Lonchura striata: one gene and its partners. The protein of the gene in region 1 interacts with the protein of each later gene in a pairwise test. Links are inferred from orthologs where the notes say so. Each region holds a gene or a part of one and is shown on either strand. Other genes may lie near its edges.

Region 1 (8,129 bases):
GCGGTGGCGCCGCCAGCAGCTGGTTCTGCTTGTGCAGATCGGCCAGGGCCTTGACGAAGCCGTCGGCGAAACCCTCCTGTTCCTGCGTCACCGGCTGCCGGTAGAGGAACGGCCCCGGCGCCGCCGCCCCGCCGCTCCCCGCCCCGGGTGCCGTCGGCCCTGGGCTGCCCGCGCCCAGCCCCGCACCCCCCTGGATCAGCAGCTGCTCCAGGTCGGCGGCCGGCGGCAGCTTCAGCAGCGGCAGCTCCGCAGCCGACCCCAGCGCGGCCTCCGGGCCGCCCCGGGCCGCCGCCGCCCCGCCGGCGCTCCCGGTCTCCGCGGAGCCCGCGGTCGGCGGCGGGGCGGCGGCGGCGGCGGGCGGCGGCGGCAGCAAGCGCAGAGCCGCCGCGCTGCCGCGGGCGCCGGCAGGCGGGCGAAGGGCGAAGGGCCCCGGGAGCGGCGCGGGGGCGGCAGCCGGCAGGTCCCGCTTCTTGCCGGCGCCCAGCAGCAGCTTCTGCCCGGCGGCCGCATCGGCTCCGGGTCCGCCGGCGGTACCGAAACCCGGCAGCGGCACGAAGTCGGGCAGCAGCTCCAGTCCTTCCTCGGGGTAAAACGGCGCCTCCATCTTCACGGCGGATCGCCCGCTACGCCCGCCGCTCATGCTGCCGCCCTCGCCGGCCGGCGGCGGCTCCGGCGCGGGGCGGGCCGGGCTGGGCGGCTGCTCCGCGGGGCCGGCCGCCCTCGGCTGGCAGCGGGGACTGAGCCGCCTCCCGGCGCCGCCGGACCGCGCCACGCCCCGGGCCCGCTGCCCGCCCCGCCGTCGCCGCCTCCCTGCTGCCGCCGCCGGTCCCCCCCGCCCGCTCCTTCCCCCGCCCGCCGGGCGTGCGCGGAACGGCTTCCCGGTGGGTGTCCGTGGGGAGCCCGCGCTGCTCCTCCCCCTCGGAAACTCGCCCCGCGGCTGCGGTGTGGGGAACAAGGCGCTGCTGGGGCCTTCCTCCGTGAACGGGGGAGTCTTCTCGGGGCCATTAGTCCGGCCCGAGGACCGGGAATTCTCAGGAGGAAAGCGAGCAAGGGCATCGCGTGGCGGCTGCTGGGGCAGGTGCCGGTGCGTTCCGTCTGTGATGGATGGGCACAGGATAGTGCAGGTGTCGAGGACTAGTGATTCTCAACAACACAGTGCTGGGAAGTCTGACGGGAAGTGCTTGGCCATCATGAAAAACTCCAACTAGTCAAACTAAAAGTCACTCAGAAGATGAAGGCCATGAATTTGATGATTTGATGTGGCCTTTTTTCCCTGGGAAAAAAAAAAAAATTAAGAAAAAGAATTTGAAACATCCTAGACATATTTCCAACATTTTCAAAATTACTGAAATGTGAATAGCATTTTTCAGTTTGGAGGTTGTATTTATTTGTTATTTTATTCAAGACAATTGCCTCTGCCTTTCCCCAAGTTTTTCAAATTCTTATGGGATAAGGAAATTTCTTTCTACGCAGTCTTTTCTAAATCCGTTTTGCTTCAGGACACCAATGTGATCCTGACAGAGCTGCTGAAAGCTCTGCTTTAAGTCTTTAAAATCAGCTTGGTGACTGATGGTCTCAGTGGCTTATCTACACATTCACAAGACCTTCTCATCTGTGATGGACCCCCTCAGTTAGGTGTCACCTTCTGCAACCTACTCATGCTTTCATGCTTTCTCCCCAGGCATTTCCTTCCTACATATCAAGACCATGTGCCTCTTCTCACAGTGTCTAGAGAAGTTGCTAAGTTCTGCTTTTAGCACGATCTGTATGGCCATGCTTTGCCCCCCTGTTCCTAAAGTTCATTCCAAAACCAGCAGTGGAGGAGGAGATGGACAGTGGTATCAAGTCCAGGACTTTGACTCATAATCCCTCTTCAAGTCCACAGAACTGGAGTCTAGGTGCACTGAGGCTTTGATGACCTTGACTCAAGCAAGTACTTTGGGGCTGCCAATTCTTACGTATGGGTGCAAGAGCTCCTTTTCAACACTGTCCAGCACCTTCAGTCCCTGCCTGGCTGTGTCACAGGTGTCACCCTCTTCTGCTTCATCTCCTGGGTGAACCTTGGACCTGTGTTTCCAGTTCTGTTCCTGGTACCATCTCCTGCTGCTCCTACCTGAATTACCTGGGTGGACCTGGTTCATCACCTCACCGTGTGTGGGTGTGTCCATTCGTGCCTGCCGTGCTCTCGTGCTGCAGGACTCTGTCCAGGCTGGTGAGCCTGGTTCTGGTCACCCCTAGCTCATTTTGCCATGGGACAAAGCCCAGCTCTTCTGGTTCTTGAGGCTGTGGCAGAATTGCTGCCCAGAAAACTGGCAACAGAGGGAGAAGAAAGCCATCAGGCACAGGCCAGGGACAGAGGCATTCACATGGGTAGGGGAGGAGTAAGCATGTTTTTCTTGGTGAGGAAGGTAGTGCTAGAAAGAGCTTATTTTGGTTTCCTTGTCTCTTGGCTGACCTAGCAAAAGAGGCAGCAGAGCTAACAGTGCTCAGCCAACAGAGTACTGAAAACATCTCATGTGAGTGACTTTGTGGAAGTATAGATTAAGCTGCTGTACAGGCTTTTCTGTCATATTCCTAGGCAAGCAAGTGGCAGTGACTGGTCCCTTCCATCAGCTGGGCAAAGAGAGCTGTCTAGGCAGAGAAGCCACAGACTCCAAGCCAAGGCAAATAAACCTTATTTTCTTTCCCTCACAAAGCAAGTGTAGACGGGGAAAGTAGGCTGAGTGGGGTCAGAGAAAAAGCCATGGAGGTTAATTTAGGTCTGGGGTTATTGTCAGTGAATTTCTAGAATATACCATTACACTTGACTGGGGTGATCCTAAAGGTAGGTTCCTTCGTCATTCCTATACAAAAACTGTCACTTATGTAGGACAGTTTTAGTTGTTGATCGAATGCAGAGTTCAAAAGTGAGCCCACAGAATGGTAACATGTTGAAACTGCTCAAAATAAACCTATTTGTAACAACAAATGGATTTGTTGAGACATCTATCTACTGTCTGCTGATGCACCTGCACACTACGTTTAGGCGAGTGACACGGAGTTGTTTTACACGACCTTAATGCAACTGTGTGTTATAGCAACGTGGTCTTCCCGTTGTTTGCTTTTGCCTTTCCACCGCCCCTCCTTTTTATAAATTTTTTATTCTTCTCCCCGAAGGAAGCCAGAACCTCCCGCGGGGCTCACAGCGCTGGGGCAGCCATCCCCGGCCACCACTGTGGGCACGGCGCGGCCGGAGCGGCCTTGAGGGAAGGGACGGCCGCAGCGCAGCCCTCGGCCCCGGGGCTGTGCCTGGCGGGGCCGGAGGCGCTGCCCTGCTGCGGATGGGGCGCGGAGAGGCGCTCCCCAGATGGTGCCGGATGGGGCGGACGGCGCTGCCCAGCTGTGGGTGCAGGGTGTGGGTAGCACTGCCCAGCTGTGGGTGGCACTGCCCAGCTGTGGGTGGCACTGTCCAGCTGTGGGTGGCACTGCCCAGCTGTGGGTGCGGGGTGTGGGTAGCACTGTCCAGCTGTGGGTGGCACTGTCCAGCTGTGGGTGCGGGGTGTGGGTGGCACTGTCCAGCTGTGGGTGCGGGGTGTGGGTAGCACTGCCCAGCTGTGGGTGGCACTGTCCAGCTGTGGGTGCGGGGTGTGGGTGGCACTGTCCAGCTGTGGGTGCGGGGTGTGGGTAGCACTGCCCAGCTGTGGGTGGCACTGCCCAGCTGTGGGTGCGGGGTGTGGGTAGCACTGTCCAGCTGTGGGTGCGGAGTGTGGGTGGCACTGCCCAGCTGTGGGTGCGGGGTGTGGGTGGCACTGCCCAGCTGTGGGTGGCACTGCCCAGTTGTGGGTGCGGGGTGTGAGTGGCACTGTCCAGCTGTGGGTGCGGAGTGTGGGTGGCACTGCCCAGCTGTGGGTGGCACTGCCCAGCTGTGGGTGCGGGGTGTGAGTGGCACTGCCCAGCTGTGGGTGTGGAGCGGAGGGCGCTGCTCAGCCTGTGGAGCGGAGCGCCGTGCCCAGCTGTGGGTGTGGAGCGGAGCGGTGGTGCTTTGCTGTGTACGTCAAGAGGAGGGCTCTGCCCAGCTGTGTGCGTGAAGCGGAGGGCCGTGCTCAGCTGCGGGTGTGTGTGGAGCGCTGCCCAGCTTGTGGAGCGGAGCGGCGGCGCTCTGCTCCGTGTGTGGAGCGGAGGGCGCTGCTCTGCTGTGGGTGTGTGTGGAGCGAATGGCCCTGCCCAGCTGCGGGTGTGGAGCGGAGTGGCGGCGCTCTGCTCCGTGTGTGGAGCGGAGGGCCCTGCCCAGCTGTGGGTGTGTGTAGAGCCGCGGCGCTCTGCTCCGTGTGTGGAGCGGAGGGCCCTGCCCAGCTGTGGGTGTGGAGCGGAGGGTCCCGCCCCGCGGCGGGTGCGGGGCGGGGGCGGAGCGCGGCCCCAGACGGGGGCGGAGCGGCGTGAGGAGGCGGCCGGATTGGCGAGCCCGCCGAGCGAGGCCCCCGCCCCGCCCCGCGCGCCGGCGCGCCCAATGGGCGGAGCGCGGCGCGCGCGGCTACCGCGAGAGGTTCCGTTGAAGCTGGCGCCGCCATCTTGGAGTCGGGAGAGGCCGCGCGTCCCGTTCCCGTCCCTCTCCGGAGGGCCACGGGCGTGGGGGGGGGGGGGGTCCGCGGGAGGCGGGGGGAGCATGGGCGCCCTGCGGTGAGTTCGCAGCGCCCCGCCGGCTCGTCCATCCCCGCGGAGGGGCCGCGCCGCGGAGGGCGCGGGGTTGGGCGGGATGGTGCAGTCCTGTTCCGCCTACCGCTGCCGGAACCGATACGACAAAGAGAAGCCCATCTCCTTCCACAAGTGAGCGCGCGCGGCGCCGGGGCGGGGTCGCGCCGGGGAGGGGCGGGGCCAGCGCGGGGCCGCGCGCGCGAGGGTGGCGGGGAGCCGTGAGGGAGCGCGCGCGGGCGGGCGCGCCTCACGGTCGGGCTGAGGGACAGGGGGACAGACCGGGCACAGACAGACAGGGGGACAGACCGGGCACAGACAGACAGGGGACAGACCGGGCACAGACAGACAGGGGGACAGACCGGGCACAGACAGACAGGGGGACAGACCGGGCACAGACAGACAGGGGGACAGACCGGGCACAGACAGACAGGGGGACAGACCGGGCACAGACAGACATGGGGACAGACCGGGCACAAACAGACAAGGGGACAGACCGGGCACAGACAGACAGGGGGACAGACCGGGCACAGACAGACAGGGGGACAGATCGGGCACAGACAGACAGGGGGACGTGTCCCCTCGCTGCCCCTGAGGCTGGGGTGCCTTGCCCCCCGCCCCGGAATCTCCCCTGGGGAAAGCCGGAGGGACGGGACCCTCGGAGCCGCCTGTTGCAGAGCGACAGCGAGCAATGAAACCCCGTTCCCTCCTCACCCCGATGAGGGGCAGGAAGATTTTTGGCTTCGTTTATCAAGCTTTCCAGAAAAGCTGAAAGTGCCTCTTGCTTGCAGGTTTCCTCTTACGAGACCCGATCTTTGCAAGAAGTGGGAAGCTGCTGTTAAGAGGAAAAACTTCAAGCCGACCAAGTACAGCAGCATTTGCTCAGAACATTTTACCCCCGATTGCTTTAAGAGGGAATGCAATAACAAGCTCCTAAAAGAGAATGCAGTGCCCACAATATTCTGTTACACTGAACCCGGTGAAAAGGTATCGCTGGCTGGGGGGCTATGTACAAATCACGGACGGGACGGGACCGCTGAGGAACGTGTCTCAGGCTGTTTATTTTTTCATATCAGTCTTATTACATGGTTTTGACAATGGGGATACAATACACAGAGCTCCATTATTAAGCTTACAGCTTCCTAATATCTCAGCAGATATACTTTTCTACAGGAGTTATTCTACCCAAGCGTTAATACACAGACCGTAGTTATATTTGTCCTTTCTACTTCTTGTATAATTTTTCTGCTGACAAATCTTATAGCTACTGCTTACCTCTAAATCACCATCCTGCTGTCTCTTTTTACCTACCTTTTACAATGTGCCTAAAACCCTCAGACTTTAAAGAATCCCACAAAAAGGTAAACCCAAAGGACCCATGCCTGCAGGTGCTAGGACATATTGTGTATGTCATTGGTTGCAGCGTGGCAGGGCAGCGAGCAGGGAGAGATGTAGGCTGGAAAAGGATGGAGGCTGGCAAGATGCTGGGCCTGGGGTCACCAGCAGGGCTGTGGTGACTGAAAACACCTCCAATAGCGTGCTTGTTTTCTCTGAGGCTCTCTGAGGCTTTGGATCACAAACTGTTGTACAGGCAGACACTGGCTCTGACCTGCTCGTGTGTCTGTTTATTCAGCATCCATGTGCTGAATTAAATGGAATGGCAGCAAAGTAAGAAGGTGTTGCCCTGTAGTCAAACTATTCCACAGTAATTCCTGCATATTCAGGGTCTGAGAGCCATCATTAATGCTTGCAAATGGCACTTGCTCTCTTCCCCTAACCCTAACCATTGAAGACATGGTGGATGTTAACTGTGAAACTTAACCAGAGGGCTGTGCTTTGGCTTTGCAAAGTAAAAGTGAGCGACAGAACCTTACCTGCACCTGCTATCTGTTTGTCCTGAGAGCACCTCTGTCTTGCCTTAACATTGTTTTCAAAAGCCATACTTGTCCCTGACTTCTGAGGGTAGAGGCTTCTGTGTGAGGTGTTCTTCCCTTCACTGTGCCACTAGAACAATTTACTGTGAGATGCAGGTCACTTATGAGTTCTCCTTGATGTAATGACTTCAAGACAAGAATGGAAAAGACTGATTTTTAACTCCTTTAAAGGATATAAAACATTTCATCTCTTTCTGCTCTGCCATAGAGAAAGTGGCAAAGGAGACAGTCGTAGATAGAGTAGGTTTGGGGAGCAAAAGACTTAAATGGGATGAAGTGCACAGAGTAAAACTCAGATTTTTCTTGTTCAATTTTTCTCTTTATGTAACATGTTGGAATGTTGCAGAAATAAAAAGGCTACACATTTGAAAAATGAAAAGTGGCTAATAACAGATAAGAATATAAACAGAATGTAAACAAGGAGACAGACAACTTACAGGAAAATACAGTTGTGTTTTTGTTTGATTGCACTTCCTTACTTATCTGTGAAATACACATTTTCTTTGTTGTGTGTAGAATACTTGCAATTTTTTTTAGTCTGAAAGCTGAATGGGTGTATAGGGTAGTCTGCAAAAGCACTGTTGGTGCAGCAGGATTAGTTGTGAGACACATTTCCAGTTTTACTGTCATACCTGGATCTACAAAAACACAGAAGAATGAGTGCCTTTTAATTCTGAAGGATTTATTTCTATTTTTATTTGTCTCATGGCACTTTTGAACAAACTGCCATAAATCTTCAAGTAACATTGTAATAGCAAAGAATAATTGTGATTGTTTTGGAGTTGAATCTACATGGATTTTGAAATACAGTCACTCTGTGTAATTTGGTATACTTTATTTTTCTTTACTTATGTCTTAGGAGAAGTACTTATTGTCTAGAATAAATAATTAGAAGTCACTGCTGATGTCATAGAGTTACCAAAGATCTCTGTTCTCTGTGATACATTGTGACCATAATAATTTGTATATAGAGGTAGCATATACACTATAGCTTCAAATAGAAGTCTCTGTGAATTCAGCAGTCCAGCAGTGATCTGATTTTTCCTTTTGTTTCTAGCAAGAATGAATTTATTTTTGCTAGCTCTACCTTTGCCTCGTAGGGTTTTTTTAGTAGAAAAATTTGATAGTGACTGCTGATAGGGTCAAGCTCTTTAGAATATTCAATTCTTTAGAATATTGATATGTGAATTAGGTAGGCTAACAGCAGCAGTTTTTTTATAGCTGAGAAATAGGACTGGTAGTTGGCTGATTTTGTACTTTCATGGGATCAGTTATATTTGAGTGCATATTAAACTTCCCTTTAATGCCAATCACCACTTTCCTTCAATACCAGTCGCCAAACTGCATTTTCAATTACTGTCTGCCAAGTTGTAGTTTGTATGGTGGACAGGTGGACACCCACACATCTATCTTGCTTGTATGTTAAGTCAAGGAAATTGATGATACAACCTTCACATCTGATGAGCTTGATATTTTGATGGTGAGGACTCTTGACTGTTCTTAAAATCAGTGTTTTCCCTGTCCTTA
Region 2 (7,468 bases), on another chromosome or scaffold:
CCGAGCTGCTAGAACTGGGTGTTGATCAGTTTGAGGTTCAAGTCACTCAGTGCTGGGGTTGTCCTGGGCACAGACATTCCCAAGGGACAGCTCTGGCTGTGAGGCACCACCAGCACCAAACCACCAACGACGGGTCGCTCGGACGCGGGAAATGGGATGACAGAAAGTGCAGAGACGCGGCTGAGGTCGGAGCTGATCAGCAGCAGGGCTTGCAGCACGGTCCCCCTGCGATTCCCCAGGAGGAGCGGCGCGGGCTCCGCCGGCCGGGCTGTGAGGGGCGCGGGCCGGGCGGGGCCGGTTGCCATGGCGACCCGGGCCGGCAGTTCCCGCCTGTCTGGCGTGGGCGGACGCCCTCCCCATTGGTCGGACGCTGCGGGGCGGGCACGCTTCCCGTTGGCCGAGCGCTGCGGGGCGCGGCGGCGGCGCGGGCGCTGATTGGTGGGCGGGCGCGCAGGGCCGCGCGCGCGGTCAGCATGGCGGCGCCGGCGCGGCGGAGCGTCGTGTTCGTGACCGGCAACGCCAAGAAACTGGAGGAGGTGAGCGCGGCGGGAGCGGGCCTGGCCGGCGGGCCCGCCTCTCTCCCTCCCTCCCTCGCCACTCCCTTCTCCCTGCGCAGGTCACGCAGATCCTCGGGGACTCCTCTCCCTACACGCTGGTGGCGAAGAAAATCGACCGTAAGTTGTGGGCAGGGCCTGGCGGGATGCGGCGGCCCGGCCCGGCCCGGCCCGGCCCGGCCCGGCCCGGCCCGGCCCGGCCCGGCCCGGCCGTGTGCTCAGCACCGCCCCATCCCCGTGTCCGCAGTGCCCGAGTACCAGGGGGAGCCAGACGAGATCTCGGTGCAGAAGTGCCGCGAAGCCGCCCGGCAGGTCACTCGCTCCTTCCCCTTTCCCGGCGGGATGGGTGTGCAGGGACCCCAGGCAGGGAAACTGAGGCATCCCAACCGGCCCGTCCTGGCCTCGCTGCTCTCCCGCCACCCGGCTGCTCTGGTTTGTGCTGGTGTGTCCCTCTAGCAGCGGGAGGTCACGGAACCTCCTTCAGTCCAGGCCCGCTGGCTGCAGGACAAAGAGTTCTGTCTGCTGAACATTCCAGAGCTGGCTCTGGGATGGGTACCCTGCAGGCATGCCTCTGGAACACAGACTTTCCCTTTCCTCGTCCTCTAGGATGTTAGGGAGCGTTCAGCTCTGCTTGTTTTTCTCCATGGGAAACCTTCCCTACTGTTCTTCAGCCTCTCTGGCCTGCCTGGGGGAGTTTGGGTTTGATTGTCTGTCTGGTGTGTGCTGCCTTTGAGGTCAAGTGGAAACACGAGGATGGGCCAGAGCAAGGGAATGGGTTTGGAGGCAGTGCCTTCCTTTAGGTCTAATGTTTTCCTTCTCTTGGGCTGTCACTGTAGGTTCAGGGGCCTGTTATAGTAGAGGACACCTGCTTGTGCTTCAATGCCCTGGGGGGCCTCCCAGGACCCTACATGTAAGTGGCTGTTTCCCCTTTCATATGCCAGGGTTAGGAGCACAGGCTGGCAGGGTTGGCCTCACACTCCAGGAGCAGTGGGGTCAGGGAGGTGATTGCTGTTTCCTGCCCTTCATCCTGCACCCCAGGGGCTGCACTGAGCTCCTTAAGCTCTGTGGGAAGTTATGGAGCAGGAATAGAGAGATAGACCTGGGCTGCTGGCTCTGGTTTCCAATCTGTGGTGCCTGCTCTAGCAGCTTGGGAACCTGTCCAAAGAGCAGGCTCTGTGCAGTAAAGGCACCAAGCCTTTCAGCAGGACTCTGCCATGAGTGCCCCACAGGTTCTCCTAAGGATAGCTTTAATCCAGAAGAAAACAAAGTTATTATGTATTTATATACATAATAACTAAGATACAGTAAATTAAATACCCCACTGCTGTTTTCACTGTGTCCCCTTCAGCTTAAGAGGTAAGTCTGTCCTTCCTGGTAAGTGCTCTAGAATGAGTGATCCTACAGCACACTGAGAGGGATTCAAAGGCCTATGAAAATGTAAGCAACAATGTCACAAGGATGCCTGTATTTCTGAGAGATAATAGCAAAAATTGTTCTTCCCTCCTCCCTTCCTTTTCAGAAAATGGTTCCTGGAGAAACTCAAGCCAGAAGGTACTGCCCTCATGTTACTACTCTGTGTGTAACCCACTCCTGTGCCCCTGAAGTGGCTCCCTACCCATGCTGGGAGAGCCAGCAGGTTCCTCGAGCCTGTTCTGTACCCTCCTTCCTGGGATGTTGTTTTTCTCAGTAGTTCTATCCCTGGATTCCCAGGCTCCTGCTGCAGCCTGGTGGCAGGGCTCATGGGAACATCTCGTTTGTGCTCAGTGTGACTTGGAAGATCTCCTGCTCCCTGTGGCTTCAGGGCAAGCCTCTCTCCAATAATGCTCCCCTTCCCTGCTGTGCCTTGATCCCACAGTTCAAATCCTTTGCTGGTCTCATTAACATGAGTACTAATCACCTTCGGGCACCAGGGGCTTTAGCTGTGCTGGGTTGCTTCCTCTCCCAAATTCATAGCGGGGCTCTGGAGATGGGACCTGAGGCTCTGGCTTCAGTCACAGCAGGGATGCTGGTGCCTGAGCTCTGTCACCTCCCGCGGTGGTTGGGAATGCCACGTAGAACACCTCCGTGCCTGGGTGGCTGTGCTGTGCTCCTGGGGAGCAGCAGGGACTCCAGGCTCCCCTCTGTGTCCCCAGGCCTGTACAAGCTGCTGGCTGGCTTTGAGGACAAGTCTGCCTACGCGCTCTGCACCTTCGCCTTCAGCAGCGGGAACCCGGAGGAGCCAGTGAGGCTCTTCAAAGGCCAGACCCATGTAGGTGCTGTGTGCTGGGGAGGAGGGCCCTGCTGGGACTTGGGTGGCAGCACTGGCTCTGTTGAGGACACTCGTGGTGGCCTCTGGGTCACTGAATGTTGGGAGCAGGCTTAGGGGGAGCGCAGCTGGTGGGTGGGGGTGCTGAGGGTGCAGCCCTCTGTTCAGTGGTGCTCACTGAACTCTGCACGTTACCCCAGTCTCCTCAGCCCCATCTCCCCCTTACAGGGCTGTATTCAGGTACAGTTCTTAGCTCTGTTATTTGGAGAGGTCAGAGCACTGTCAACATAAGGCAGCGTGAGTTTGGAGCTGCTGATGCTGGCCACATGCTGGGGAGGGGACAGCTCCCTGCAGGGCCTGTGGTGGCTGCACTGTGAGCTATGGCAGCGTGTCTCTGTCTGTGCTGCACGGGAAGTGCAGTCTTTAAGGGTTTTTTGTGCTTTTTGGTGTTCTTTTAAAGTTTTTCTGTGCTTTCTCATGGCAGGGACTGATAGTGGAGCCCAGGGGCCCTCGGGATTTTGGCTGGGATCCCTGCTTTCAGCCAAATGGCTACAACCAGACGTAAGTGATGTTTTACCTACAGCTCTTTGCGTAAGGCCAGCCTTGGTCAAGGGTGTCCAGGGGAACTTGCTTGTAAGGAAGGGCATCAGGGAGAAATGTCCTCCTGGATGGGAGCAGGGTGGGTGATGGGAAACCCCCAGTTCAGGGCTTGTGTCACTACCAATGCCTTGCTGAGCCAAGCAGGGAGGCAGAGGGGAGCTCCAGGGATATGCTGTAGTGTCTCTGCTGCTGACACTTGCTTCTGTCCCCTGCAGCTACGCTGAAATGCCCAAGGCAATGAAGAATTCCATCTCACACCGGTACAAGGCGCTGAGTGAGCTCTCAGCCTTCTTTCTTCAGAGCGCCTCGCCAGAGCCGCGCCCCACTCCCAGCTAGCGCCCGAGCCGCGGGCTCACACAACCGCACGGAACTCCTGGGTCCAGAGGACCTCTGGAGATCTCCCAGTCCAAGCCCTGCCAAGGCAGGTGCTGTGCATGTCACACGCAGCGCCGGCAGAGACTCCCGCCGCTGCGGGATGCCATTAAAGCTGCTCCTTTTGAACGCACCGCTGCCTCGCTCTCCGCTCTTTTTGTTGCTTCAGCAGAAACCCGCGGGTGTGCGCTGTTAAAGCTTCGCCCTTGTGATGCGGGAGCGGCTTCGGAGCGGAGCCGGCACCGGCACCGGGCGGGGGCGCGCCGGGGCCGCTGCGCGCTGGAGCGCGGAGCAGCGCCGGGGCAGCGGCAGCCAATGGGGAGCGGCCGGCGCAGCGGCAGCCAATGGGGAGCGGCCGGGGCGGACCCACTGGCCAATGGGGAGCGGCTGAGGAGGAGTCAGCCAATGAGCGGCGGGCGCGCCGCGCAGCCGGAAGCGGTCAGCGCGGCGGACACGTGGGGCCGCGGCGGGAGCGGGGCCCGGCCCGGCCCGGCCCGGCCCGGCCATGGAGCTGCTGCCCCGCAGCCCCGCCGAGTTCGGCTCCGCACGCTACTGGGATCGCTTCTTCCGCCAGCGCGGGCAGCGGCCCTTCGAGTGGTACGGGGCCTTCCCGGAGCTCTGCCCCGTTCTGCACAAGTATGTGCGGCCCCGCGACAAGGTGAGCCCCGGCTGGTACCCAGCGCTGTGTCCCCTCCGGGCTCCGCCTGCGCGGCGAGCTCTGAGGTTGTTTTGCCTGTAGAAGAGGAGGCTCAGGACTGACCTTATCGCTCTCTACAACTCCCTGAACGGAGGTTGTAGCCAGCTGGGGGTTGGCTTCTCCTCCCAGGCAACCAGCAACACGATAAAAGAACACAGTCTTGAGCTGCGCCAGGGCAGGTTTAGGGTGGACATTTGGAGGATTAATTTCTTCAGAGAAAGGGCGCTTAGACATTGGAATGGACTGCCTAGAGGGAGGTGATGGAGTCACCGTCCCTGGAGATGTTTAAGGAGAAGTGGGACATGGCACTCAGTGCTGTGCTCTGGTTGGCATGGTGGTGTTTGGTCATAGCCTGGCCTCCATGTTCTTAGATGTCTTTTCCAGTGGTTGGTTCTAGTTGGTTCTGTGTGCGAGGTCTGACACAGATGATATGAAGCCCCCATTGTGCCTTAGCAAGAGGATAGGAGAGACCTCTAGGTGGCCCTGGTCTGGGCAGCTCTGGGGGTTAAAGCACCAACATCCTTCTCAAAAAAAATGCAGCAGATGCATCACTTCTCTGCCCACGGGACTGTTCTCTGTGGATATGTTATCTTAGGCCATGGAGAGTGAGTTTGCAGGCCCTGAAGGTGCGGTTTTCACAGACACGTCTGATATTTGCTCCTAAAATGGTGGTGGGAGGAGTATTTCCAGGGTGTTATCACCATCACGCTGCTCTTGTGCTGCTGCCCAGGTTCTCGTGGTGGGCTGTGGGAACTCGGAGCTCAGTGAGCAGATGTACGACATGGGGATGTGCCAGGACATCGTCAACATCGACGTCAGCGACGCCGTGATCCGTCAGATGCGGGAGCGCAGCGCGAGCACCAGGCCGAGGATGAGCTACCTGCTGATGGACATGCTCCAGATGGACTTCCCTGATGGCCACTTCCAAGCGGTCCTGGACAAAGGCACGCTGGATGCCCTCCTGACCGATGAGGAAGAGGCCACTTTAGCCAAGGTAGACCAGATGTTTGCTGAGATCAGCCGGGTCCTGCAGGTAGGAGGGCGCTACCTCTGCGTCTCCTTGGCTCAAGCCCACGTGCTGAAGAAAGCTGTGGAATACTTCTCCCAGGAAGGCTGGGTGGTGCGTGTCCACCAGGTGGCCAGCAGTGGGGACCAGCAGCAGTTTGTCCTGCCGGTCTTTGTGTATGTGATGACAAAGTTCAGGAAGATGCCTGGCTCGGCAGCACGGATCCTGGAGATCTGCCCTGAGGAGCAGGACAAGCCGATGCGGGTGGAGAGCGTGGAGCGGCTGGTGGCAGCGGTGAAGGACAGGCAGCATTATGCCCTGCTCTGCAGCCAGATCAGCAAAACCCCCTGCAGGGAGCAGGTTTCCTTGGATCTGTGTGACAGAGAGAGTGGGAAGCCCCGCTACACGCTGCACGTGGTGGACAGCCCCTCGGTGAAACCTTCCCGGGACAATCACTTTGCCATCTTCATCAGTGAGTACAGCCTGTCCAGGCTGCAGTCAGGTTCTTGCCCTGGCCATGAGCTGCCAAACAGCCAGCCCTTTAGGGCCTGTTGAATGTGGGGCTGGAGAGAGAAATTACCCACCTGCGTGGGATTGGGGTGATGTTTTAGTCCTGGTTTTGCCATGGGATTTGTACTTGCCTGGTGGTGCAAGCAGAGGTGTGGCACAGAGCTTGTTGGGCAGAGGGACCCTGCCCAGCCTCCAAGGTGGTGGTTCCTGCCTGGATGCTGGTGACAGCCAAGTTAGCTCCTTGCGGCTGGGAAGCCATCGCTGCTCTCTGTGGGTGTCCTGGCTTGCAGGGCCAGACCCCTGGGGCTGCACTCACAGACATGTGTCGGCCTCTGCCAGCAGCACCATTCCCTCCCTGCATCCCTGCAAACCTGGGCCTTGGCAGAACCTGGAGACAGCTCAGGAGCTTGTTGGACCCCCCCCCCCACTTCTAATGAGATGTGGCTTTTTCAGCTTCTTGCATGAGCCTGCCCAAAACGGGGGAAATCCTGGCTCTTTTGAAGGTCACAGTGCACGGCTCTAACCAAGCAGTGCTACCTCCCTTAAATGTCCTGCCATTCCCTGTGGCAGGAAGGCTCGAGGGCCAGGAGCAGCCCAGGCTGATGGCAGCCCCTTCTGCAGTTCCACAGGGCAGGGAGACCGAGTGGCTCTTTGGGACGGAGGAAGGGCGGAGGCAGCTGGCAGCCAGCGCGGGCTTCGGGCGCCTGCTGACGGTGGCCCTGCACAGGGAGCAGCACTACGAGGGCATGGCCGCCATCCAGGCAGAGCTCTCGGGGAAGGTGATGGAGCTGGCCCCGCCGGGCCTCCCTGCCCGGCAGCAGGTGAGCCCCCACTGCCTGGCCCCTTCCCCAAAACAGAGCCAGGCTGGCTCTCTGCCAGTAGGGAAACCCTCTTCTCCAAGGGAGACCAAGCTACAAGGCTGGATGCCTTGGTGGGCAGGAGATGGGCCTCAGGTGCAGCTTCTCATGGCTTTCCCTCCAGCTCTCTGTCTGTGCTTGGAGGCAGGATTTGAGGTTCTTGTGTGGTAGGATTCAGTATGAAGTCCTTGCTCTCCAAAACCCAGCATGCTGAGAAAAGCGGAGATCTAGAAATCCTAAGAGCATCCAGCCCCCTGTCTTAATTAACTTCTGTTCCTTCTGTTTTCTCCTTCCTGCCCGAACAACACACATCTGAGTTCTTGCAAAAAAACCTTGCTGTGTTTGCTCCCCTGTGTTCACTGTGGGAGTGAATCTAGTGAAGATCCCCAGCTCTCCTGTGGCATCCCACTGCTCCTCTTGTGTCTGCTTCATCCTGGCCCTGTAGCCATATTCAGGACAGTGGGAATGCCAAGCTCTTTTCCTGTAGCTTTTCCTTGCTCCCAGCAGCCCCTCTCCTCCCTGCAGGTGCCCTTCCTGTCTGTGGGAGGGGACATCGGGGTGCGGGCGGTGCGGCACTGTGGCAGCAGCCCCCTGAGCGGGGAGTTCGTCGTGGAGGACGTGAAGGGA
Region 3 (8,092 bases), on another chromosome or scaffold:
TCCTTCTCTGTCACTCAGCCCCTGTCTCCAGCCCCTCGGAGGTCTTGACCCAAATCCTGTGTGCTCTGCCGCATGCTGGCTGCTGTGCTGACAGGACACAGGTCCCGTTGATCCCAAACGCTGGGGGAGACAGTATCAGAGCTCTGCTTGCACTGAGAGGAAGGGGCTGGGGTGTTAGAGCCCTTTGCAATCCTTTGCTGTGGCTGAACTGAGTGGTGCCGTGTTACCCCATGAGAAGTCAACCATTTTTCTCCTCCTCCTCCTCCCCCTCAGGAGGATGCCTCCACTGTGGCTTTTGACACAGAGCAAGTCACGAGATGCCGAGGAGGTCAAACCTGCTGCCACGGAGGGGCACTGCCATCCAGAGAGCTTCCCACTGCCCAGATCTGCAGATCGCATGGGTGAGCAGGGACAGCATAGGAAATGCTACATGGGAAAGCCCTGTGTGGGAGCCCAGGAGCCCCTGCCTTCCCACAGCAGACTTATCAAGGCACCAGTTCAGAGTGGTGCTTTCCATGGGCCAAAAGGGAAGTGCATACACATCAGACTTCTCAGGGTCAAGGATGCTGGGCAAGCAGTGAGAGGAGAGGCTGCAGGGGGCAAGGGAGGGAACCGGGGCGTGGGGAAGGAGACACAAATAGCAAAATGAATAGCTTGAACTTCCTATGTTTTATGGAGGTGAATAAAAGGAGACAGAGAGGGGGAGAGAAAGGAGACCTGAATGCCTGCACAAGGTCTCACGCTCACACAGTCCAGCCTAGACCCCAGAAACTGCTGGTGGCTGATGTGGGGTGGCAGCCTGTACCCCCTTGGCTGGCATGTCTCTGGGCTGGCTGCTTGTCTGGCCCAGTGTCCCCCAGGGGTATCTCATGAAGCGTGACAGGCTGCTGCTTAGCATTTATTCCTCTCCCTGTCATTATTGTTTTGAACAGCAGCCAGTATAATTAAAATTGTTAGGAGAAAGAGGTTTAGGGAAAATCCAAAATGTCTCAGAAGAGCATCTGCAAAGCTGGAGGTCCAAACTCCACCCTGGCACTCACGATGAGCAGGGCCCATGGGAGCCATCATCTCCTCTGCATCCTCCCTTCCATGCTCCCCGTTTCTCAGGGTGGCAGAGGCTGGGCTAACACACAGGGTGGTCCTGGCCATGTTCCCCTTGCAGCTGCTGCCCACTGTAGCTAAATCCTGCAGCTTTTCCTGGTGTAGGACTTGTCCCAGGAGGTCCAGATGGCAGTGTCCCCAGGCACCTCACCTGCAGCTCGAGGACAGATGCAGTGGGGGGATGTAAGAAGTGGAGGACATGGAGCCCCTGTGGGCTGCTCTTCCAGAATGGCATGGATGGATCTAAAATATCTCCTGGGAACCATGATGCTTTCTGTTGTGTTAGGAGGGCCTGTGCCACAAGAGGAGGTGTGGAGAGGACCCTTGGCTCCTCAGAAGAGAAAACAGGATGGTCCATAAACAGAAATGGAAGTCACCATTCATGCCACATTCTCCAGGTTTCCTAAGTGTTTGAATGGAGGATTTGACTGCTCTAGGGTCAAATGTCCCCAGTGCCAGGGCTAGGAGATTAAGGACATCAGACAGCTCCAGCAAGGAGGGGAAGAAAAGGCAGATCCCTGCCTCCATTCCAGGGCTGGCACAAGTGCATGGTTAGAGGATTAATCAGGAGCCCTCCAGCCAAGGCAGGCTGAGGGTGAAAAGGAGAGGGAGGCACATCAAAACCTCTCCCCAAAATAAGTGGTGCTCTGGCAAAGCCTATGGCAGCTGCTCCCATCTTCTGCCTCAGTGTCTCCCAGCTACTGATTGTCTGTTGCTGTCTGGATAGGATCACTCATTACCAGCTCAGAGCCCAGTGTGTCACCCAGGACAGCCAATCCTCCAAACAGTGACCTGCTGAGGTCCTGGAGATCTGAGCACCCCTGAGGTTAGGGTGTGTCTCAGGACAGAGCTTCCCTGTGGGTTTTATGGTGGGTGGATAGACAAGGCAGGCCCAGGAGTGCCTCTCATCTCTGCTTTTTCCAAAAGTGGACCAAGCCTCTGGTGGTTGGGAGCAGAGAAAGGGTGGGGTTTGATGGCTGATCTCCAAATGACTTGAACTTACTGGGGATAGTGGAAGCAACTTGATCCAGCCCATTCGCTGCGTTCAAATCTGCTGAGAGTCGCATGGGAAATACAGTAGCCCAGTGGAAAAAGCAGGTGAGATTTTGTGGGGTTTTATTTTGCAGGAAACTTCTCCTGGCTCTCCCAGATCTGCCTGCCAAGGGCAGCTGCCAGCGAGGCACCACCAACGGAGACTTTCAGGGAGTCTCTTGGTGTGCAGGGGTCAGCAAAAGCCCCCTCCCAGACTCTCCCTGATGGACTCGCCCCTGCTCTGTTTTTAGCACATTCAAGTAGCTGCTTTCACAAGAGGTAAAAGAAAGTTCATGGATCCGTTGACAGATCACCCCAAGCGGGAATTTCTCTGGGAATTCCTGCAATAGCAGGTTAGCTCCCGCGGAGGTGGAGTTTCCTCTGGATCTACCTCCACCCAGGCTTGGGGAGAGCTCTGGCCACCGGCTCCACGCTTGGGGGGCAGGGCTGAGCGACGCCACCGCTGCTTCCCAGCCAAGGTCAGCCAGAAACCCTCCCTGTCCTGCAAGCGCCTGGCCTGTTGTGTCCTGTTAACCCTTGGGAAGAGCAGAGCCACAAGCTGGCAGGCTTGGGCTGCAGAGCTGGCCCGTGCCCAGGGGCACACAGGGGCAGTGGACATGCCCAGCAGGCACACAGAGCTGCAGGCGTGAAGATTTCGTGCCATTCTGTCCCTTGGGGACTTGCTGCCAGGCAGTGGTGGGCCCTGGGTGAGGCTGGTTGCCACTGCAGGAGGCCAGCGCTGGCAGGGAGATGGCTCCTGCTTGAGGCAGGGAGTGACGGGGTGATGGTGCTTGGCATCAGTGACTGTGTGCTCTGGAATCTGAGACACGTCCCCGGCCATACTTGTGGTCAGGAACCATCTCTGCGTTGCAGCAGCACAAGCCACACTCCCAGTGGCAGCAGTGCTGCTTGAGCGTGTCTCTGACGCCAAGGACCGGCGTGACCCGACCCCACACACGGGACAGGCAGCTGCTCATTTCCAGAAGGTCCCCTTGTTGGGACTTGTTTCCTCCTCTCTAACAGAGGTGGGCCTCACCAAAATGGCACCTCCTGACTCCACAGCCAGACCCTGCCAAGGGCTGGAGGATTTCCAGGTGCTGCACAGGCTCCAGACTGTGGGGTGGAGGGAACTTGTGTTCGCAAACACACGGCCAAGCAAAGAAGTTTCAAGGTGTCATGCTAGGGAGAGGGTCCAGTGCTCACTTTTGGTCTGGGACCACCTTTGCTGCTTTAGGGATGAACTGCCATGTGTCTCACACATCCAGGGTGCAGCTCTTGCTAAAGGGTATCCCAGAGCTCCGTGGTATTTTTATAAATCTCCATGGTATTGCTATAAAGAACAGCAAGCAGGCAGCTTGCTAGTGCACAGATTTGGGGATCAGCCACCCATCAGAGCTTTAGCACTGATGTGTTCAATGCTTCTCTCTCTGGAGGTATTCAAAACTCATCTGGACAAGTTCCTGTGTCACCTGGTTTAGATGACTCTGACTTTGAAGGGTGGCTGGATGATCTCCAAGCCCTTGAGCCCTACTAATGCTGGGATTCTGTGATTCTGAGATTATGCCCTCAGTGACTCAGCCTCGCCCCAGGACAGAGTGCAGTTGGAGACGAGCACTGGGAATTCTGGTTCCCAAGACCTGACTGTGCATCCTGAGGCCACACGTAGCATATCCCTGTGCTTCCACATGATCTGCAGCTCCATCGGGGCAGGACACGGCCGCTCTCCACCAGCACAGTCAGGGCCCTCTCTGAAACATCGGCGCTTGGCGAGGGCTGTGCATGGGAGTTCTCCCTCTGCCAGGAACCAGCTGGAGGGAGCGACAGCGCTCGGCAGCATCTCCCGGGGGATGCGCTGCCCTCGCACAGTGTGCGAGTGCCATCTACAGGGGCTCTAGCCCGGCCCCCCCAAAAAACCCATCCTCTCGCCACTGCTGACTGCTGTCCAGTCCCCAAGGCCGTATGAGGGGCACAGCCTCAGTTTATCCAGGGAGCATTTATCCAGCAGTTTATCCAGCACTGCTCCGAGGGCTCAGCACAGCCACGGACAACAGTCGCAGCCACAGAATGGTTTGGGGTGGAAGGAGCCTGTAAAGCTCATCTTGTTCCAACCCCCTGCCGTGGGCAGGGACACCTTCCACTATCACAGGCTGCTCCAAGCGCCATCCATGAAACTTCCAGGGATCCAGGGGCAGCTTCTCAGGGCACCCTGTGCCAGTGCTGACACCACCCTCACAGGGAAGAATTGCTTTCCAATACCCCATCTGACCCTGCCCTCAGTCAGTGTGAAGCCGTTCCCCCTCGCTCTGTCACTGCAGGCCCTTGTCCAAAGTCTCTCCATCTCTCTTGGAGCCCCTTTAGGCACTGGAAGGGGCTTTAAAGCTCTGCCCGGAGCATTCTCTTCTCCAGGCTGAACCCCGCAGCTCCCAGCCTGTCTGCACTGCAGAGTGCTCATTATCTCCGTGGCCTCCTCCGCCCCGCTGCAGCATTTTGGGACGCGGCAGTTCCTGCCTGCCGTGGCACAGCCCCCGCCCGGGACCGGGGGTCCCTCACCGCGGCTCCGCTCCGAGCCCCTCCGCGGGGCCCCCACAGCGCCCCCGGCGGCCGGGCGGCGCCGCGAGAGACGGCCGCGGGGCGCGCTGGGAGATGAAGTCCCGCCCGTGAGCCGCGCTCCGGCAGGCGGCGGGTGGAGCTGGAGTCCCGAGGACTACAACTCCCATCGTGCCCCGCGTGCGCCCGCCCTGACTGCGGCACCGGGGGCTGAGGTGGGCACCGGGCACCGAGCGCTGCTCCCCCCGCCCGGACCCCCGTCCGGCCCCGGCGCCGATCCCGGGGAGCGGCGCGATGGGCGGGGAGGACGAGATCGTGCGCATTGCCAGGCGTCTGGACAAGATGGTGGCCAAGAAGAACGCGGTGAGTGGCGGCGGCAGGGCCCCCGCAGCCCGGTTGGCGCGGGGGGCCGCCCCCTGCCCGCTCTTGTCTGGCGGACGCGCCCCCTCCTTTCCGCAGGATCCCCTCCTCGCTGCCGCGCTGGGGCACCCCCTCCTCGGTGCCGTTGTCAGGGGCGTCCCCCTCCCCAGACCCCATTTTGGGAGCCTCTCATTCAGCGCCGCCCCGGTCCTTACATCGTGCTGGAGCACACGCTCCCCCTTTAAAGTGGGGTTCCCTCCCCCAGGCCCCGTCGCTTTTTCCTTTCCCCATCCTTTGCGGAGGTGTGGCATCCACCCACTGCCAGATATTGAGCGGGCAGCCCTGTGTGCCCCCTTGGGTGCTGTGGGAGCCTCCAGTCCCCATGCTGAGCCCCCCACCCCAGGCCTGCGGCATCCCCAGCCCGCATCTCAGCACTGCGGGGCTCACCCTGTGCTGCCTGCCCTCCTCCTGGAGAGCATCCCCAGCCCTTCTCCCCTGCCCCTTGGGAGCCTTTGGGAGGGGAGTCCCCACCAGCACCGGCCTGGGGCCCCGGTCTGCCCCCGGGGATAGCCCCGGTGCTGATGGATTTGCTCCCTGCATCTGCATCCCACACCAGCACTGCTGCTCGCTGCCGTGGCCCCTGGAGTGTGGAGGGCTGGCCAAGCTGCTGTCTGCACTCCGGGAGTCTCGCAGGGTGTGCTGTGACCCCTGTGACAGCCTGGGAGGACAGGAGCCGGTATTTTCCGGCTTAGTGGGATATATCAGTAGAAACACGGTGTCATGCAAGTGCTAAGGCAGAAAGCTGACAAGGGTTTGTGAAGGAGGTAGGCTGTACATCTGTGTCTGGGGTGGGGGTGAGGGATTTTGGGGTTGGGAAGGGCTGTGGGGAGTGGGAGATGATGGGTGAGGAAGAGGAGGCATTAGAGGAATGTGGTATTCTGTGTTAGGATGCTGGGTACATCACAGTTATCATTTATGCTGGTGTAATCACAGGAACTTTTGGTTGTTGGACTGACCCTGCCAGCCGTGGGTAGAGCAAGCACTGTCACTTGTGTCGCTGTTGGAACAGGCCAGAGAAGTGTGTTTGGGCTAAAGAAGAGCCTGTGATGTCTGTTCTTGCTCGTGGCAGGTTTTCAGCATCAGTGTTGAAATAGGAAAGGAGCAACTTTGTAGAATTTGCTTCCAGCTACATTGGGAAAGAGGCAGCTTCTTACAGGAGGGGTATGCGACATTTCCTCTTGGCTGGCGTTTGAGATAGTGCTGAACTACAGCATGTTCTGTTTTGGCTAATCTTAGAGCTCTTCCTGCAGGACAGTTTCCCAGAGTTTGTTGCTCTAGTTTTTCCGTGGATCCTCATTTGCTGCCGTTGTGCTGAGTGGCTCCACTTGGAGTCACACCGGGTCACTTCGGGTGTTCAGGGCTGGAGGAATGGGAAGGTGTGAAACTGCCTGCGGTGGAAGTCAGTCCTTCTGGGTTTGGTAAATGTGTGTGGTTTATGCTGGTGTGAGTTGATTGTGTGCACGCTGAAAGCTTTGACTCTGCTTTGATTTGGGCATCTGTTCTGTAGGGTGAATTACAGCTGGATTGCTTCCTGGGATGAGTTGGAAGCAGCCCTTCTGTGTAGGGAGGACGGGATGTGAGGACAGGGCTGGCAGTGCAGACACTTCACTTCCCTACAATGGTGGCTGTGCAGGCCTTGTGCTGCAACTGGGCTTGGAGTGGTCGGCGTTGTAAATGAGCTGCTAAAAATGAACACTGGAAGCCTTGTGTGAGGGATGGGGGTTGGGCAGAAAGAGCCAGCTGAATGGAGACAGGCCCATGCCAGGCTGGGATGTGCTAGAGGGAGACAAGTGATTTCCAGTTCTCTGAGTGACTGCCAGTTTTAGGTGTCTACAGATTCCCCATCAGATTTTTCCTGGTTCGAGGATGTAGAGATGATGTAAGGAGACTTCACAGAGCAAGTGTCAAGTGACCAACCTGTCAGCATCACAGCTTGCTGCCTTTGCTCCTGGTCTCAGCTTTTCTCCTGAGCAGAATCGGGTATTAATATGAAAACTAGGAAATAGCTACATGGAATCACTGACAGTTGTAATTCAGAATGTGTTTTTCAGGTATTAAAAATGTTTAGCGTGCCAGGTAAGAATAATAAACAGGTGCTGCACTTGCACCATACACAAACAAGGACCTGTAGCACTTCAGTGGTCTTCTGTTTTGCCCATTCCAATGATTCAGGTGCCTTCAAGTTGCAGGATCTATTGTCTGGAACAGCACCCAGCAGTGCACTTGCTGATGTTTCAGGGAACATTTGGTGGTTTTCCCTTTGAATTCAACTTTCTTTGTCTATTCCCAATAAAATTCCTTTAATAAAAGCTGAGGCACTCATTCTTTCTCTTTTCCTCTCCAGGAAGGTGCAATGGATTTACTGAAAGAACTGAAAAGTATGCCTATGACTTTGGATTTACTGCAGGTGAGTTGCACAGTTATGGTAACAAGCTTAAGTTTACATCCAGATGAGTTCAAAATGTTCTCTAAATAAACTTAATAGATTTCATCAGACTTCTCGCCTCATGCAAAGAGTAAAAATAAACATTAAATCCAACAAAATAGTGCAGAAGTTAGGTTTTGGACTGGCAGTTCAAGAGCTCTGGGTCACTGTGTGTAATTGCTCAAATCTTGTTTGTAGGCTGCAAAAAGAGGAAAGACTGGGTTAAAGTAGCAAACACAGAGGGCAGTCGTGGGAGAAGTTCTTTGTAATGTTGATATTTAGAACTTTGGGGAGGAGTGAGCAGAATTACAATTTGGAGTCTGTGATGCGGTTTGGAGTTTTTCACTCTAAGCTTGAATGTCACAAGTGTGTAGGGAAGGGATTTGTGGGAGATTGGACGTGTCTTCTGTTCAGCTGTGCAAGCTGGAGAGTGTCACCTTGCTCTTCCAAAATTGCAAGGATCATAGAATCATTCTGCAAGCCTTTGGATACTCCTGTCCTGGTCATGGCTTTGACTTTGTCGTGGTTATTTGAGATTTCAGTTAGGAACTAATATTGAATCTGCTC

The links. The genes of interacting proteins can lie anywhere in the genome.
Region 2: the proteins of THAP1 (region 1) and METTL13 interact in binary tests that used the Homo sapiens proteins (3 or more experiments, as listed by UniProt). The two-hybrid records come from large-scale screens. The link is inferred for Lonchura striata from reciprocal best matches to the Homo sapiens genes THAP1 and METTL13.
Region 3: the proteins of THAP1 (region 1) and TCEA2 interact in binary tests that used the Homo sapiens proteins (3 or more experiments, as listed by UniProt). The two-hybrid records come from large-scale screens. The link is inferred for Lonchura striata from reciprocal best matches to the Homo sapiens genes THAP1 and TCEA2.

The regions. Positions count from the first base shown.
Region 1 is NC_134642.1:4,504,757-4,512,885, reverse strand, and holds the start of THAP1 (THAP domain-containing protein 1), read left to right. Parts: upstream 1-4,630; 5' UTR 4,631-4,732; coding exon 4,733-4,803; intron 4,804-5,459; coding exon 5,460-5,655; intron 5,656-8,129. Other genes in the region: transcription factor Jun, read right to left, coding at 1-640. UniProt on the Homo sapiens protein: DNA-binding transcription regulator that regulates endothelial cell proliferation and G1/S cell-cycle progression.
Region 2 is NC_134611.1:599,762-607,229, reverse strand, and holds the start of METTL13 (eEF1A lysine and N-terminal methyltransferase), read left to right. Parts: upstream 1-4,231; 5' UTR 4,232-4,276; coding exon 4,277-4,429; intron 4,430-5,198; coding exon 5,199-5,946; intron 5,947-6,605; coding exon 6,606-6,805; intron 6,806-7,366; coding exon 7,367-7,468. Other genes in the region: ITPA (inosine triphosphate pyrophosphatase), read left to right, coding at 474-536, 617-674, 802-866, 1,391-1,464, 2,074-2,105, 2,687-2,802, 3,284-3,360, 3,615-3,735. UniProt on the Homo sapiens protein: Dual methyltransferase that catalyzes methylation of elongation factor 1-alpha (EEF1A1 and EEF1A2) at two different positions, and is therefore involved in the regulation of mRNA translation.
Region 3 is NC_134619.1:6,781,008-6,789,099, reverse strand, and holds the start of TCEA2 (transcription elongation factor A protein 2), read left to right. Parts: upstream 1-4,855; 5' UTR 4,856-4,974; coding exon 4,975-5,043; intron 5,044-5,641; exon of another isoform or gene 5,642-5,864; intron 5,865-7,444; coding exon 7,445-7,507; intron 7,508-8,092. UniProt on the Homo sapiens protein: Necessary for efficient RNA polymerase II transcription elongation past template-encoded arresting sites.